Regions from separate parts of the Mus musculus genome. Here region 2 is reported to be linked to region 1. The links are microRNA targets in miRTarBase. Many come from high-throughput screens and were not tested one by one. Region 1 holds a microRNA gene; the other region holds the end of a gene's coding sequence.

What was found. The annotated mature microRNA mmu-miR-466p-3p reads AUACAUACACGCACACAUAAGA and lies in region 1 at 4,655-4,676, shown strand. An mRNA with a match to its seed (bases 2 to 7 or 8) in the 3' UTR can be bound and repressed. Matches are read on the target gene's strand: a 7mer-m8 pairs with bases 2 to 8, a 7mer-A1 pairs with bases 2 to 7 and ends in A, and an 8mer does both.
Region 2: the mRNA of Acot11 is a reported target of mmu-miR-466p-3p. Seed matches in the 3' UTR shown: 7mer-m8 at 3,137-3,143.

Annotation. Positions count from the first base shown.
Region 1 is chr2:10,491,666-10,498,715 of GRCm38, forward strand. Mir466b-7 (microRNA 466b-7) reads left to right here and starts at 4,603; the gene lies at 4,603-4,690. The region is part of intron 10 of Sfmbt2 (Scm-like with four mbt domains 2); the gene reads left to right. It overlaps Mir467a-7 (microRNA 467a-7), which reads left to right and starts at 1,845; the gene lies at 1,845-1,927. Mir466b-6 (microRNA 466b-6) reads left to right here and starts at 2,133; the gene lies at 2,133-2,222. It also overlaps Mir669a-9, Mir467a-8, Mir669p-2, Mir467a-9 and Mir466b-2.
Region 2 is chr4:106,742,510-106,749,658 of GRCm38, reverse strand. It overlaps Acot11 (acyl-CoA thioesterase 11), which reads left to right. Exons shown (of 16, transcript NM_025590.4): 15 at 271-397; 16 at 1,175-5,098. The coding sequence ends at 1,330. It overlaps Fam151a (family with sequence simliarity 151, member A), which reads right to left. Exons shown (of 8, transcript NM_146149.1): 4 at 6,303-6,462; 5 at 3,962-4,186; 6 at 3,464-3,603; 7 at 2,543-2,686; 8 at 1,367-2,120. The coding sequence ends at 1,390. Among named protein-coding and RNA genes, the nearest start is that of Fam151a, 12 kb to the right of the region's middle.

The sequences.
Region 1 (7,050 bases):
AGGAATGGCATTCGCCAATCCCTTTGAATGATAAGTGATGTAGAGTTTTAGAGATTATGCAATAGGGGACATTGAATGGACTCACTCACCAGGTGTAAAAGATTGACAAAGTCAGGAGGATAAGGATTGCAAATTCATGCTTAACTTCATTTGGAGATCATCTTGGTATTAATGTCATGCAACCCATGTATGTGCATGTGTGCTTACTTGTATGTGCATTGTATGTGTTGACATGATATACATAACATAAACACACGTGTTTATGCAAGCACACACACACAGGAAAAAATTGCATTCATTTATACGTTTGAATGACATGTGACTCAAAGTTTTCAAGATTATGAAGTAGTGGGACAGTGAATGGTTTTACTCATCAGGTGTGAAAGATTGTGGATCAGGAGTTCTAATTCATGCTTTACTTCATGATGACTTAGAGATATGCCTGGGATTCATGTGATGTCCCCTATGTATCCCTATCTGTATCTGTTTCTATTGTGTGTGGATTTGAGTATATGGATGTACCTATCTACACAAATATGTACATGTACACAGACACAAACAGAAACACACACAAAAACATCAGTGCAACTCATCGATCCATTTGAATGACATGTGACTTAGAGTTTTAAGATTTTTCAGTACTGAATGGGGAGAGGTCTCACTCAGTAGGTGAAATCCCTTGACAGAGTCAGGTGGATCAGGAGTTCAAGTTCGTGCTGAATTTCATGATGAGTTCATGATCAGCATGGGATTCATATTATGCCCACCAAAATGTACATGTGTGTATAGTTGTGTGCATATTCACTTCTCTATATGAATATGCATATACACACATGCACACACATTCATAGGAATGGCCAGAGCTATGTCTCAGTTAGGAGGTGAGCACTCTTGCCAGTGTCAGGAGGATGAGGAGTTCAAATTCATGTTTAACTTCATGATGAGTTAGAGTTCAGCATGCGATTCATGTGATGCCCACCAAGAATGTGCAGGTGTGTATAGTTGTGTACATATTCACTTCTGTATATGAATATGCATATACTCACATGCAAACATACTCCCACGAATGGCCCGTGCTATGACTCAGTTAGGAGGTGAATACTCTTGCCAGCATCATGAGGATGAGCAGTTCAAATTCATGTTTAACTTTATGATGAGTTAGAGATCAGCCCGGAATTCATGTGATTTTCCCTGTGTTTGTGTTTATGTGTATAGGGAAGTATGCCTGTACATGCGCGTATATGAACATGCATATATATATATATATATATATATATATATATATATATATATATATATATATACACCCACACAACTAGGGACACATTCATGTGCACACAAACACACATGGCAGTCATCCATTTGATTTATACGTGCTTAGAGTTTCATTGAGTGTATATTCATGGTATAGGGAATAATGTCACTTATCAGATGAAAACCACTTGCCAGAGTTAAAAGTCTCAGGAGTTCAAATTCATGCTTAACTTCATAATGAGTTAGAGATCACCCTGTATTTGTGTGATGGATCCTAGGTATGCACAAGTGCATATAATTGTGTGTGCACGTACATGTGTGTATATGATCATACATATAAATACACACACATACAAATGTATTCACACACACAGGCATGCACACTCACACACATAAGAATGACACTCATTGATCCATTTGAATGATTTATGTCTTAGAATTTTGCTGATTATAAAGTAGAGGGACAGTGAATATTCTCACTCACCAGGTGTAAACAATTGTCAGTGTCAGGAGGATCAGGAGTTCAATTTCATGCTTAACTTCATGAGCAGTTAGAGATCATCCTGGAATAATGTGATGGCCCCTATGTATGTGCCTGTGTGCGTAAGTGCCTGCATGTATATGCGTGTATATTTTATGCATATACATACACACACCTACACACACATGCACACAGACATGCGGGAATGGCCCTCACGGATCCATTTGAATGAAATGTGACCTACTGCTTTGGAGGTTATGTATGACTGGGCCAGGGTGAGGTCTCACAAACCACAGGAAAACCCTTGGTAGATTCGAGAAGATCAGGAGTGCAAGTTCATGGTAAAGGCATGATGAGTTAGAGGTCATCCTGGCATTCATGTGATTGCCCCTATGTATGTGTGTATGTGTTGATGTGTGTGTACATGTACATGTGTGAATATGATATACATATACATACACGCACACATAAGACACATATGAGCACACAGACACATGGGAATGGCACTCATCAATCCATTTGAGTGATAAGTGACTTAGAGTGAAAATGCTTGCTAGAGTTAAGAGTATCAGGAGTTCAAATTCATACTTATCCTCATGAGAGATCAGCCTGTGATTCCTCCATGTATGTGCATGTGTGTATAGTTGTGTGTGCATGTTCATGTCTATATTTGAATATACATAACATACACACACACGTATAAACGCAAGCACACATACACAGACACAGGAATGGCATTCGCCAATCCCTTTGAATGATAAGTGATGTAGAGTTTTAGAGATTATGCAATAGGGGGCATTGAATGTCCTCACTCACCAGGTGTAAACGATTGACAAAGTCAGGAGGATAAGGATTGCAAATTCATGCTTAACTTCATTTGGAGACATCTTGGTATTAATGTCATGCAACCCATGTATGTGCATGTGTGCTTACTTGTATGTGCATTGTATGTGTTGACATGATATACATAACATAAACACACGTGTATATGCAAGCACACACACACAGGAAAAAATTGCATTCATTTATACGTTTGAATGATACGTGACTTAAAGTTTTCAAGATTATGCAGTAGTGGGACAGTGAATGGTTTTACTCACCAGGTGTGAAAGATTGTGGATCAGGAGTTCTAATTCATGCTTTACTTCATGATGACTTAGAGATATGCCTGGGATTCATGTGATGCCCCCTATGTATCCCTATCTGTATCTGTTTCTATTGTGTGTGGATTTGAGTATATGGATGTACCTATCTACACAAATATATACATGTACACAGACACAAACAGTAACACACACACAAACATGAATGCAACTCATCGATCCATTTGAATGATATGTGACTTAGAGTTTTAAGATTCCTCATTACTGAATGGGGAGAGGTCTCACTCAGCAGGAGAAATCCCTTGACAGAGTCAGGTGGATCAGGAGTTCAAATTCGTGCTGAATTTTGTGATGAGTTCATGATCAGCATGGGATTCATCTTATGCCCACCAAAAATGTGCATGTGTGTATAGTTGTGTGCATATTCACTTCTCTATATGAATATGCATATACACACATGCACACACATTCATAGGAATGGCCAGAGCTATGTCTCAGTTAGGAGGTGAGCACTCTTGTCAGTGTCAGGATGAGGAATTCAAATTTATGTTTAACTTCATGATGAGTTAGAGTTCAGCATGCGATTCATGTGATGCCCACCAAGAATGTGCATGTGTGTATAGTTGAGTACATATTCACTTCTGTACATGAATATGCATATACTCACATGCAAACATACTCCCACGAATGGCCCGAGCTATGACTTAGTTAGGAGGTGAATACTCTTGCCAGCATCATGAGGATGAGCAATTCAAATTCATGTTTAACTTTATGATGAGTTAGAGATCAGCCCGGAATTCATGTGATTTTCCCTGTGTTTGTGTTTATGTGTATAGGTGAAGTGTGCGTGTACATGCGCGTATATGAACATGCATATATATATATATATATATGTATATATATATATATATATATATATATATATATACACACACACACACACACACACAACTAGGGAAACATACATGTGCACACAAACACACATGGCAGTCATCCTTTTGATTTATACGTGCTTAGAGTTTCATTGAGTGTATATTCATGGTATAGGGAAAAATCTCTCTTATCAGATGAAAACCACTTGCCAGAGTTAGGAGTCTCAGGAGTTCAAATTCATGCTTAACTTCATAATGAGTGAGAGATCACCCTGTTTTTGTGTGATGGACCCTAGGTATGCACAAGTGCATATAATTTTGTGTGCACGTACATGTGTTTATATGATCATACATATAAATACACACACATACAAATGTAGTCACACACACAGGCATGCACACTCACACAAATAAGAATGACACTCATTGATCCATTTGAATGATATATGTCTTAGAATTTTGCTGATTATAAAGTAGGACAGTGAAGGTCTCACTCACCAGGTGTAAACAATTGACAGTGTCAGGAGGATCAGGAGTTCAATTTCATGCTTAACTTCATGAGCAGTTAGAGATCATCCTGGAATAATGTGATGGCCCCTATGTATGTGCCTGTGTGCGTAAGTGCCTGCATGTATATGCGTGTATATTTTATGCATATACATACACACACCTACACACACATGCACACAGACATGCGGGAATGGCCCTCACGGATCCATTTGAATGATATGTGACCTACTGCTTTGGAGGTTATGTATGACTGGCCAGGGTGAGGTCTCACAAACCACGGGAAACCCTTGGTAGAGTCGGGAAGATCAGGAGTGCAAGTTCATGGTAAAGGCATGATGAGTTAGAGGTCATCCTGGCATTCATGTGATTGCCCCTATGAATATGTGTATGTGTTGATGTGTGTGTACATGTACATGTGTGAATATGATATACATATACATACACGCACACATAAGACACATATGAGCACACAGACACATGGGAATGGCACTCATCAATCCATTTGCGTGATAAGTGACTTAGAGTGAAAATGCTTGCTAGAGTTAAGAGTATCAGGAGTTCAAATTCATACTTATCCTCATGAGAGATCAGCCTGTGATTCCTCCATGTATGTGCATGTGTGTATAGTTGTGTGTGCATGTTCATGTCTATATTTGAATATACATAACATACACACACACACGTATAAACGCAAGCACACATACACAGACACAGGAATGGCATTCGCCAATCCCTTTGAATGATAAGTGATGTAGAGTTTTAGAGATTATGCAATAGGGGACATTGAATGGTCTCACCCACCAGGTGTAAAAGATTGACAAAGTCAGGAGGATAAGGATTTCAACTTCATGCTTAATTCAGTTAGAGATCATCCTGGTATTCATGTGAGGCCATCCATGTATGTGCATATGTGTTTACTTGTATATGCATTGCATCTGTTGACATGATATACAAAACATAAACAAACGTGTATATGAAAGCACAGACACAGAGAAAAAAATTGCATTCATTTATACGTTTGAATGATATGCGACTTAAAGTTTTAAAGATTATGCAGTACTGGGACAGTGAACGGTTTTACTCACCAGGTGTGAAAGATTGTGGATCAGGAGTTCTAATTCATGCTTTACTTCATGATGACTTAGAGATATGCCTGGGATTCATGTGATGCCCCCTATGTATCCCTATCTGTATCTGTTTATATTTTGTGTGGATTTGAGTATATGTATGTTCCTATCTACACAAATATATACATGTACACAGACACAAACAGAAACACACACACAAACATCAGTGCAACTCATCGATCCATTTGAATGACGTGTGACTTAGAGTTTTAAGATTCCTCATTACTGAATGGGGAGAGGTCTCACTCAGCAGGTGAAGTCCCTTGACAGAGTCAGGTGGATCAGGAGTTCAAATTTGTGCTGAATTTCATGATGAGTTCATGATCAGCATGGGATTCATCTTATGCCCACCAAAAATGTGCATGTGTGTATAGTTGTCTGCATATTCACTTCTCTATATGAATATGCATATACACACATGCACACACATTCATAGGAATGGCCAGAGCTATGTCTCAGGAGGTGAGTACTCTTGCCAGTGTCAGGAGGATGAGGAGTTCAAATTCATGTTTAACTTCATGATGAGTTAGAGTTCAGCATGCGATTCATGTGATGCCCACCAAGAATGTGCATGTGTGTATAGTTGTGTACATAATCACTTCTGTATATGAATATGCATATACTCACACGCAAACATACTCCCATGAATGGCCCGAGCTATTAATCAGTTAGGAGGTGAATACTCTTGCCAGCATCATGAGGATGAGTAGTTCAAATTCATGTTTAACTTTATGATGAGTTAGAGATCAGCCGGGAATTCATGTGATTTTCCCTGTGTTTGTGTTTATGTGTATAGGGAAGTATGCCTGTACATGCGCGTATATGAACATGCATATGTATATATACACACAACTAGGGACACATATATGTGCACACAAACACACATGGCAGTCATCCATTTGATTTATACGTGCTTAGAGTTTCATTGAGTGTATATTCATGGTATAGTGAATAATCTCACTTATCAGATGAAAACCACTTGCCAGAGTTAGGAGTCTCAGGAGTTCAAATTCATGCTTAACTTCATAATGAGTTAGAGATCACCCTGTTTTTGTGTGATGGACCCTAGGTATGCACAAGTGCATATAATTGTGTGTGCACGTACATGTGTGTATATGATCATACTTATAAATACACACACATACAAATGTATTCACACACACAGGCATGCACACTCACACACATAAGAATGACACTCTTTGATCCATTTGAATGATATATGTCTTAGAATTTTGCTGATTATAAAGTAGAAGGACAGTGAAGGTCTCACTCACCAGGTGTAAACAATTGTCAGTGTCAGGAGGATCAGGAGTTCAATTTCATGCTTAACTTCATGAGCAGTTAGAGATCATCCTGGACTAATGTGATGGCCCCTATGTATGTGCCTGTGTGCGTAAGTGCCTGCATGTATATGCGTGTATATTTTATGCATATACATACACACACCTACACACACATGCACACAGACATGCGGGAATGGCCCTCACGGATCCATTTGAATGAAATGTGACCTACTGCTTTGGAGGTTATGTATGACTGGGCCAGGGTGAGGTCTCACAAACCACGGGAAAACCCTTGGTAGAGTCGGGAAGATCAGGAGTGCAAGTTCATGGTAAAGGCATGATGAGTTAGAGGTCATCCTGGCATTCATGTGATTGCCCCTATGTATGTGTGTATGTGTTGATGTGTGTGTACATGTACAT
Region 2 (7,149 bases), not on the chromosome of region 1:
AGTGCCTTTCCCATGGGTATCCCTTGGTCTCTGCCCTCTGGAAGCTTGTGGCTGTTACCTGAGACATGGGCGCAGCCAGGGTAGACTGCATCTTTTTTTCTGGAGACAAAGGCCAGAAGAATGAAAACCCCAAGGTACACAGTCCATGGGTTCACAGGGAGCCTGAACCTGATGCTGCTAACACAGATGTCCCCTTCCTACAGCTGACCCCCAGCAAGGCATCCTCCTCTGGATGATCTCTGATCCCTTCTAACTCTGCCTCTCTTCCAGGGACCCCTATGTCATTGCCCTGAGGTCGGTCACGCTGCCCACGCACCATGAGACACCGGAATACCAACGTGGGGAGACTCTCTGTTCAGGCTTCTGTCTGTGGCGTGAGGGGGACCAGATGACTAAGGTAAGACGTGATGTCCCCTCTATACTTCCACCTATGGATAAACTGAACTCTACGCTGTTCGGCTGGGCCCTTCCAGACCCGAACCCCCATGACCCCCCAGACTTTGCAGTCTGAAAGGAGCTCGTCTGGAGCTTGAGTGTGGTCAGAGAGCAAACTGCTATTGGGGCTTGGGAAAAGCTCTGGACACACTACAGAAAGCCCAGCTCTGATCTAAAATTCTGCCATTGTTTGTTTAATGTGTCTCCCTTTTCGTCTGGGAGGGCTTTATGTGGCTTTGAGGGCATAGAAGGCTCAGCAGGGGAGTCAGAGTTAATTGGAAAGGTAGAGCAGAGCTGGGGGCAGGTATGCTGCAGTTCCCCTGGCATGCAGTTTTCCTTGCAGCCTTGCCCAGGTGCTGACTCGGCCAGCATTGCTAAGGACCTACACAAAGGACATAGTCCAAGGCTTATGTCTACCACGTTTCTGTGACACCCCACCCTCCCAGCACTGTTATAAAGTGGATTCAGGTGTAGGTATTAGAGTCAATTCCTGTCCCCTTGGGGCCACCTAGTCAGCAGGGAGGTGTACAGTGACCTTATGGTTTGCTGTGATAGGGCAGTCAGAGTTGAAGTTCCCTGTGTATCTGGGGGACCTATCAAAAGAGGCTAGGTCTATCACTCAGGTTTTCTAACTGATCAAGATACAAGGTTGTATCTGTTGCTTCCCCAGAAGGCAAGCAAGGCTGCTGACTCTCACCTCCCCATTATGCCTCCTTGAACTTGACTTCCTGTCCTGCAGGTTTCTTACTACAACCAGGCCACCCCCGGCTTTCTCAACTATGTGACCACCAATGTGTCCGGCCTGTCCTCAGAATTCTACAACACTTTCAAGGCTTGTGAGAGTTTTCTGTTGGACAACCGGAATGACCTAGCTCCCAGCCTCCAGACCCTCTAGACACCACCCATGCTGCCCCAGGTCTTACACAGTGCGTGGAACAAAGCAGAGACATTTATTCACCTTGACTCCCCAGGGAAGCCTTCCACACTAGATGGTCCAATCCTACTGGATGGTCGGTTGCTGCTCACATCTGCCTGCAAGTCTTTCCAGTACTCCTGGGATATCCTGTAATAGACTCGGGTCCTGTCCACGGCCCTGGCCGCCCACAATCCAGCCCACAAATCCACATGGCTGTTCCCAGCAGTGCTGTGGTACACTGTGACAGTGGCTCTAGGGGAGGAGGCCAGGAGCCTGGCCACAGTGTTGGCTGGACTCTGACTCAGTGGCCCAGCCTGCAGCTGGAAGGACACAGGTTGCCGGAGTCCCTGACACAGCTCCAGCATATCTGTGACCATCTGCTCCTGATAACCACTGTCCAGCATCTCTTCGGGCCAGCCCGGTGCCACGGTCACATGGGGGAAGACTTCAGCCACAGCTGTGAGCAGCTCTCTGCCAGCTATGTGGCCAGGGACCACAAAACTACCATGTGAGACTGTGGACCCCACCCACACAGGCCAGGGCAGATGGCCAAGGGTAGAAAGGTGTGCTAACGTGGCCAGGGATGGCCGGAGAGCTTCGGGTTCCACTATGTTCACATGGATGCCCCAGCGCCTGGGGTGAACAGCCAGACGCAGCAGACACGACTCCAGTGTCAGAGCAGGGCCACCTGGGGTGTGTAGGATGGGTACAGGGTTCCCAGCCTCAGGTTCCTGGAGGCCAATGTCCAGCAAGATCATGCCTTCTCTGTCTGGAAGAGGCAACAGTTTGGAGATCCTGTCATCATGGGACGTCAGTGTTTTTTGTTAAAGGGGACATACATGGGGGCATGTCATGGGGATAGATCAAGAGGCACCAGCCATTCTTGAGTTTGCCAGCTCCATCCCAGGCTCCAAGTGCTGTGACTGGTGACTCTCAGGCAGGCATGACAAATTGCTGGCCTCCATTCTTGGCCTTCCTAATCACTCCCCACTCCTCTAGTCACAGTGTGGCTGAGGACTCAAGGCTGTGAAGACCAGGAGTTCCTGCTCTTGACATTATTCCTCCCACTTTGTATCCAGTGTGTGGCTTATTGTGTTGCCATGGTAACAGAGAATCAAGTTACCCACCCAAGCAAATGACAGACCTGTGGGTGAGGGTAGCCAGGAGCTTTAGAGCTGCAGGCAGACTCACCAGGAACTGTAATGGCTGCTCTTCTCCCACTGCCATTCACTTCCAGAACTAGCCACTCTACCTCCAGACCATCACCCTTGGGCTGCTGGAGAAGAGGGATCAGGCTGCCACCTGTGTAGTAGGTTCGCTTCCGGGTGGTGTTCACTGTGGGACCCAAAATTGCCAATGTGAAGGGACCACTCTCCACAAATTGCCTTGTGTATGCACTGGCTCTCCCGCATCCTAAGCCCTGTGGCTGTCACTTCTCCCTTTTGGGTAGATTGGAAGTCATTGTCTCATGGCCTGACATTCAACAGAATTTACTGGGCCAGAAACCAAACAGAGCTAGAGATGAGGGGAGGGGGCTCCAAAGCTTGTCTCCTCCCTTTCCCAGGCACAACTCCCTCAATAGGAGTGGAATCTGATGTGACTCCTTGGGATGACTTAAGTGTAGATGCCCCTAGACACAGGGTCAAGAGAACAGGGCATAGTGGCATCTGGCTCATGAACTAGTGGGCACGTAAGAGGGCTGTGCTTGAGACCCTATTGCCAAAGGTGAATGGTGCTGTGGAAGCCAGGGCACTCGAGTGCGTGCATGTGTGTGTGTATGTGTGTGTATGTATGTGTGTGTGTGTGTGTGTGTGTGTGTGTGTATGTGTGTGTGTGAGACTTGGCTAGGTTGTGATCAGATTGCACTCCTACAAAATCCTTGTGGTTTTGGACTTCCATTGCCCTCTCTATCAACCAGACTCCTGTTCTGAGGACATCGCTTGGATAACATAATATCCCAGGGGCAGAAGACAAATTCTCAGAATAGCTCCTGTCTCCTGTTCCACGCAGAATTTTCCCCATCTAGACCACCCTTTCTCCGCTTCCATGCCCACCCAAGGCTGCCCTGAGCAGAACACAGCCCACAATTCCCCTCCCAGGCTCCCTTCTTACAGGCCAGCTGCTTAAACTGCGACAAGACAGGCTCAAAGAGGTCATAGTAGATTTGGTGAGCGGCACTGTTGTCCCGGATGAAGAGGAGATCTTCTACTGACACGGGGTCTGAGGCACCCTGCCACAGTGTTAGGCTGTACCTGGAACCAGAGAGCTGACTCAGGGCCCGCCTGACTCTTGGCTCTACTTGTGCGCTCAGAACTGAATGCCAGCTGAGCCCAGGAGTGGAGCATCTGTTCTCTAGATTCCCACCAGAGGATGATGGAGAGCGGAGGTTCAGAGGGCAGGAGGATGTGCACCCCTGGGATGTCTGTTTCTGAGTTACCCACCAATGGAAGCAGTGACCAGCCAGTGCCCAGAAGAGTACAAGCCAGAGGCCGAGCATAGGAGGTCGTTAGGGCAGTGGGACTGGGACAAGATGATCTTTAGGACCCCTCTTGACGTGTTCATCTTGGGGCAGAGCCCAGGATAGGTTTGGGACCAGTAGAGGGGTTTCACCTCTCAGATTGGCTCAGAAGCCAGCTGAAGTGGGGCCAAGCAGCCCGTGTCATGACAGCTCTCACTGGGAAGGTGACCTTCTGTGGCAGCGCTCCGACCAGCTCCTGCATTGTTTCCACCATGGCTTGGGTGTATGTGCTGTTTGGCAACTGAGGCACATAAAGAGTGGTAAAGCCTGGAGAAATGGTGGCCTTTGGATATTTCTCCTGGACAAGAGTCAGAAACCTGCAGAGAGAGACCAGAGCAGAGATACCCATCTTTCCCTTCTTGTAGGCTCTTGCCACAGCGACAGGAACAGTCAGGCCTATTGAGACTCAGCTTGGAGATTGACATCAGAGCCCTAAAGAGCAGCAGTGATTTGTACATCCTCCTGCTGATATCACCACCCTGTGCAGTCAGAGAGGTCTGGGATCCGGTCTCTACTCTGCATCTGGTGATCCATCTGATTCTCAAAGATAGTGACTGTCAGGGCAGGGCCTTTTAAACATCCCCACATCGACAGAGGGGCTTGAGTGAGACTTGTAAGGTGTGCAGATCTGCATGCTGACAGATGGCTTCGAGTCTCCAAAGTTTCAGATTCCTAATTTTTTTTTTCATATGAGAAGAGCCTGTGCCACATGTCTATAATCTCAGCACTTGGGGGGTGGGAGGCAGGAGGTTCAGGGCTTCCTTCATCCCCAGATACATAGCAAGTGCAGGGCTAGCCTAGGCTACATGAAACTGCCACAAAGCAACACATTGAAAAGAGTTATTTGAATTTTGTTCTGATGCAAATTTTCAATAGGAAATTAATGTCACCCACTGCTCGGCCCCCAGATATATAACTCAGTACCCTGAGGAGAGAATCCTTGTTTGTCTTGGGCCCTAGCCTACATTTTCCAAATATAACTCATTTTGAGAATCAGTAAATGTTGGCCGGGCAGATGGAGGTGTCTGCAGAGCACAAAACTCGAGGACGGAAAGACCTGTGGGAACCTTTGCTCTGCCGTTTTGTAGACTTAGACCATTCATTTAACCTTTCAAAGATAGTTTCTATACTTACAAGATGAATATGACTAGTTGCTACCTCATTCTCTTAAGAGTTCAGCTGTATTCTGCAAATAAAATGCTTGAAACCGTGCCTGGGGTACACTAACCACTCAACAGCATGTTTCTGTCATTGTGAATTTTCACATGGGGAGAAAAAAAATATCCTAGCCTGTCAGGGGCTGGGTCTTTTGGAGAACTGGAGGGGCGGGGGAGGCATCGCTTTATAACTTTCTAGCAGGCCAAGTCCTGTGCATGTCACTGGGGAGACAGAGAGGATGTGGTCACAATGGAGCAAGGGTAACTAACACGTAAGTCAGCAGAAATGGTCCAACTGAGTCAGGCATGAGGGGACCTGATCTTCAGGAACCTGGGGTGCTAGAGACACTTCTGGAAGTGGCAGGGACTGGGGAAAGACTCAATAGAGCAAGTGTGTGTGTGTGGGGGGGATTCAGAATGCTGATGTACACCAAGTGTAGCAGAGATGGGGACAAAGGATCAAGAGTTCAAGTCCAGCAGGAACCGCATGCATGCAGAGTTCAAGGCTATGTAGGGCTACATGAGAACTTGTCTCATCCTCTCCCCAACAAAAGAGGTAAACAAATCAAAGCAAAAAACAACCACCACCACCAACCACCACCACCACAAAACCAAGAGACAGTAGTGGCCTATAACTAAATCTGGTACCAGGAGACAAAAGCTAGAGGATCCCCGAAAGTATGAGGCCAGCATGATCTACATAAACCGTGTCTAAAAAACACATAAAGGAATGGGGCTGGAGAGATGGCTCAGAGGTTAAGAGCACTGGCTGTTCTTCCAAGGACCCAGGTTCAATTCTCAGCATCCACATGGCAGCTCACAGCTCTCTGTGACTCCACTTTCAGGGATCCAACACCCTCACACAGACGTACATACAGGCAAACCCCACAAATGTCCATAAGATAAATAAATCATTAAACACACACTCATAAAGGGAGCAGGCATCCAAGATAGGAGGGAACAGTGCATGCGAATGCAGAAGTGGTTGGTGAGAAGGCTCAGCAGGTAAAAGGTGCTTGCCACTGAGACCCATAACCTGAGTTCAAGCCCCGGGACCCACATGCTGAAAAGAGAAAACCAAGTCCTTAATCTCTGACTTCTACACTATCACGGCAGCACACAGGCGGCATCAATGCCCAAAACAAAACGAGCAGGCTCAGAGGTGAGGTCTCACGGTGCGACTGGCAAATGCCACAAAGGTCCCCCAAGGTCCCTTTTTATGCTCAGTGATGACAGAAGAGGGCTGGACTCAGCTGGGGAGAGGGTGAACACTTACTGGGTAGCATTGATCTCAATTGAGATGGGCACATTGGGGCCCCTCAGGATGTCAGCATTGATCCACACTGGTCTCCGAATCCTGCCAGCCTCAGTCAGCTGCCGAAGGAGGTCCAGGGAGGGGCCTACAGCCTTGAGACTCTTGAAGTCCAGTTTGATGCCTGCAGGAAAGGGGTGAGGACTGGGGAACTGGACTTACTCAGTAGAAAGAGCAGGGAAGGGCAGGAGGGTCTTGGGAAAGAGTGGGAAGAGGGGGGCAGATGGAGATGGGCTGCAGGGGACAGCTCTGAGGCAGAGAGAGCCAACACTGAGAAGAAGGCCTCCCCCTTTTCTTCCCAGATGGGCAGAAGCAAAAGCTAGTTGAAGGCATGGGCTGGTACAGGGAGACTCAGACATAGAAAAGGCCTTCAGTTTCTGAAGTCCAGTAGGCCCCCAAGAAGGGATGTCCGAGAGGTTGACTAGATAGAAAAGGGAACCAGTGTGAATGAATGCCCATCTAACTGTGGAGACAAGAGATGAAGTTTCCAAGGTAGAGATCCTGAAAGCCAAGCCAGGCCAAGGGGATCCATGGAGGGAGGGTTTAAACAGAAGAGTCATGGGTGTGTGTGGCAGTTAGATGAGGCTGCACGTGTGAAAAATGATGTGGCTGTGACTGGAGTTACAGCCGGGAGGGGCAGCTACTGGGCAGATGAGGAAAATGAGGGAGCATGTGGTTTGGGGCAAGGTGGGCAAGGCCTAGACCCAGACTGGAAAGGGGAGTTGGAGGGAGCAGGTTTTGGCTCAGAACACAGTTCTGCTGACCCACGAGGGACATTTTGACCCTGTCTGCCTCTTTGCAGTTTATTTGC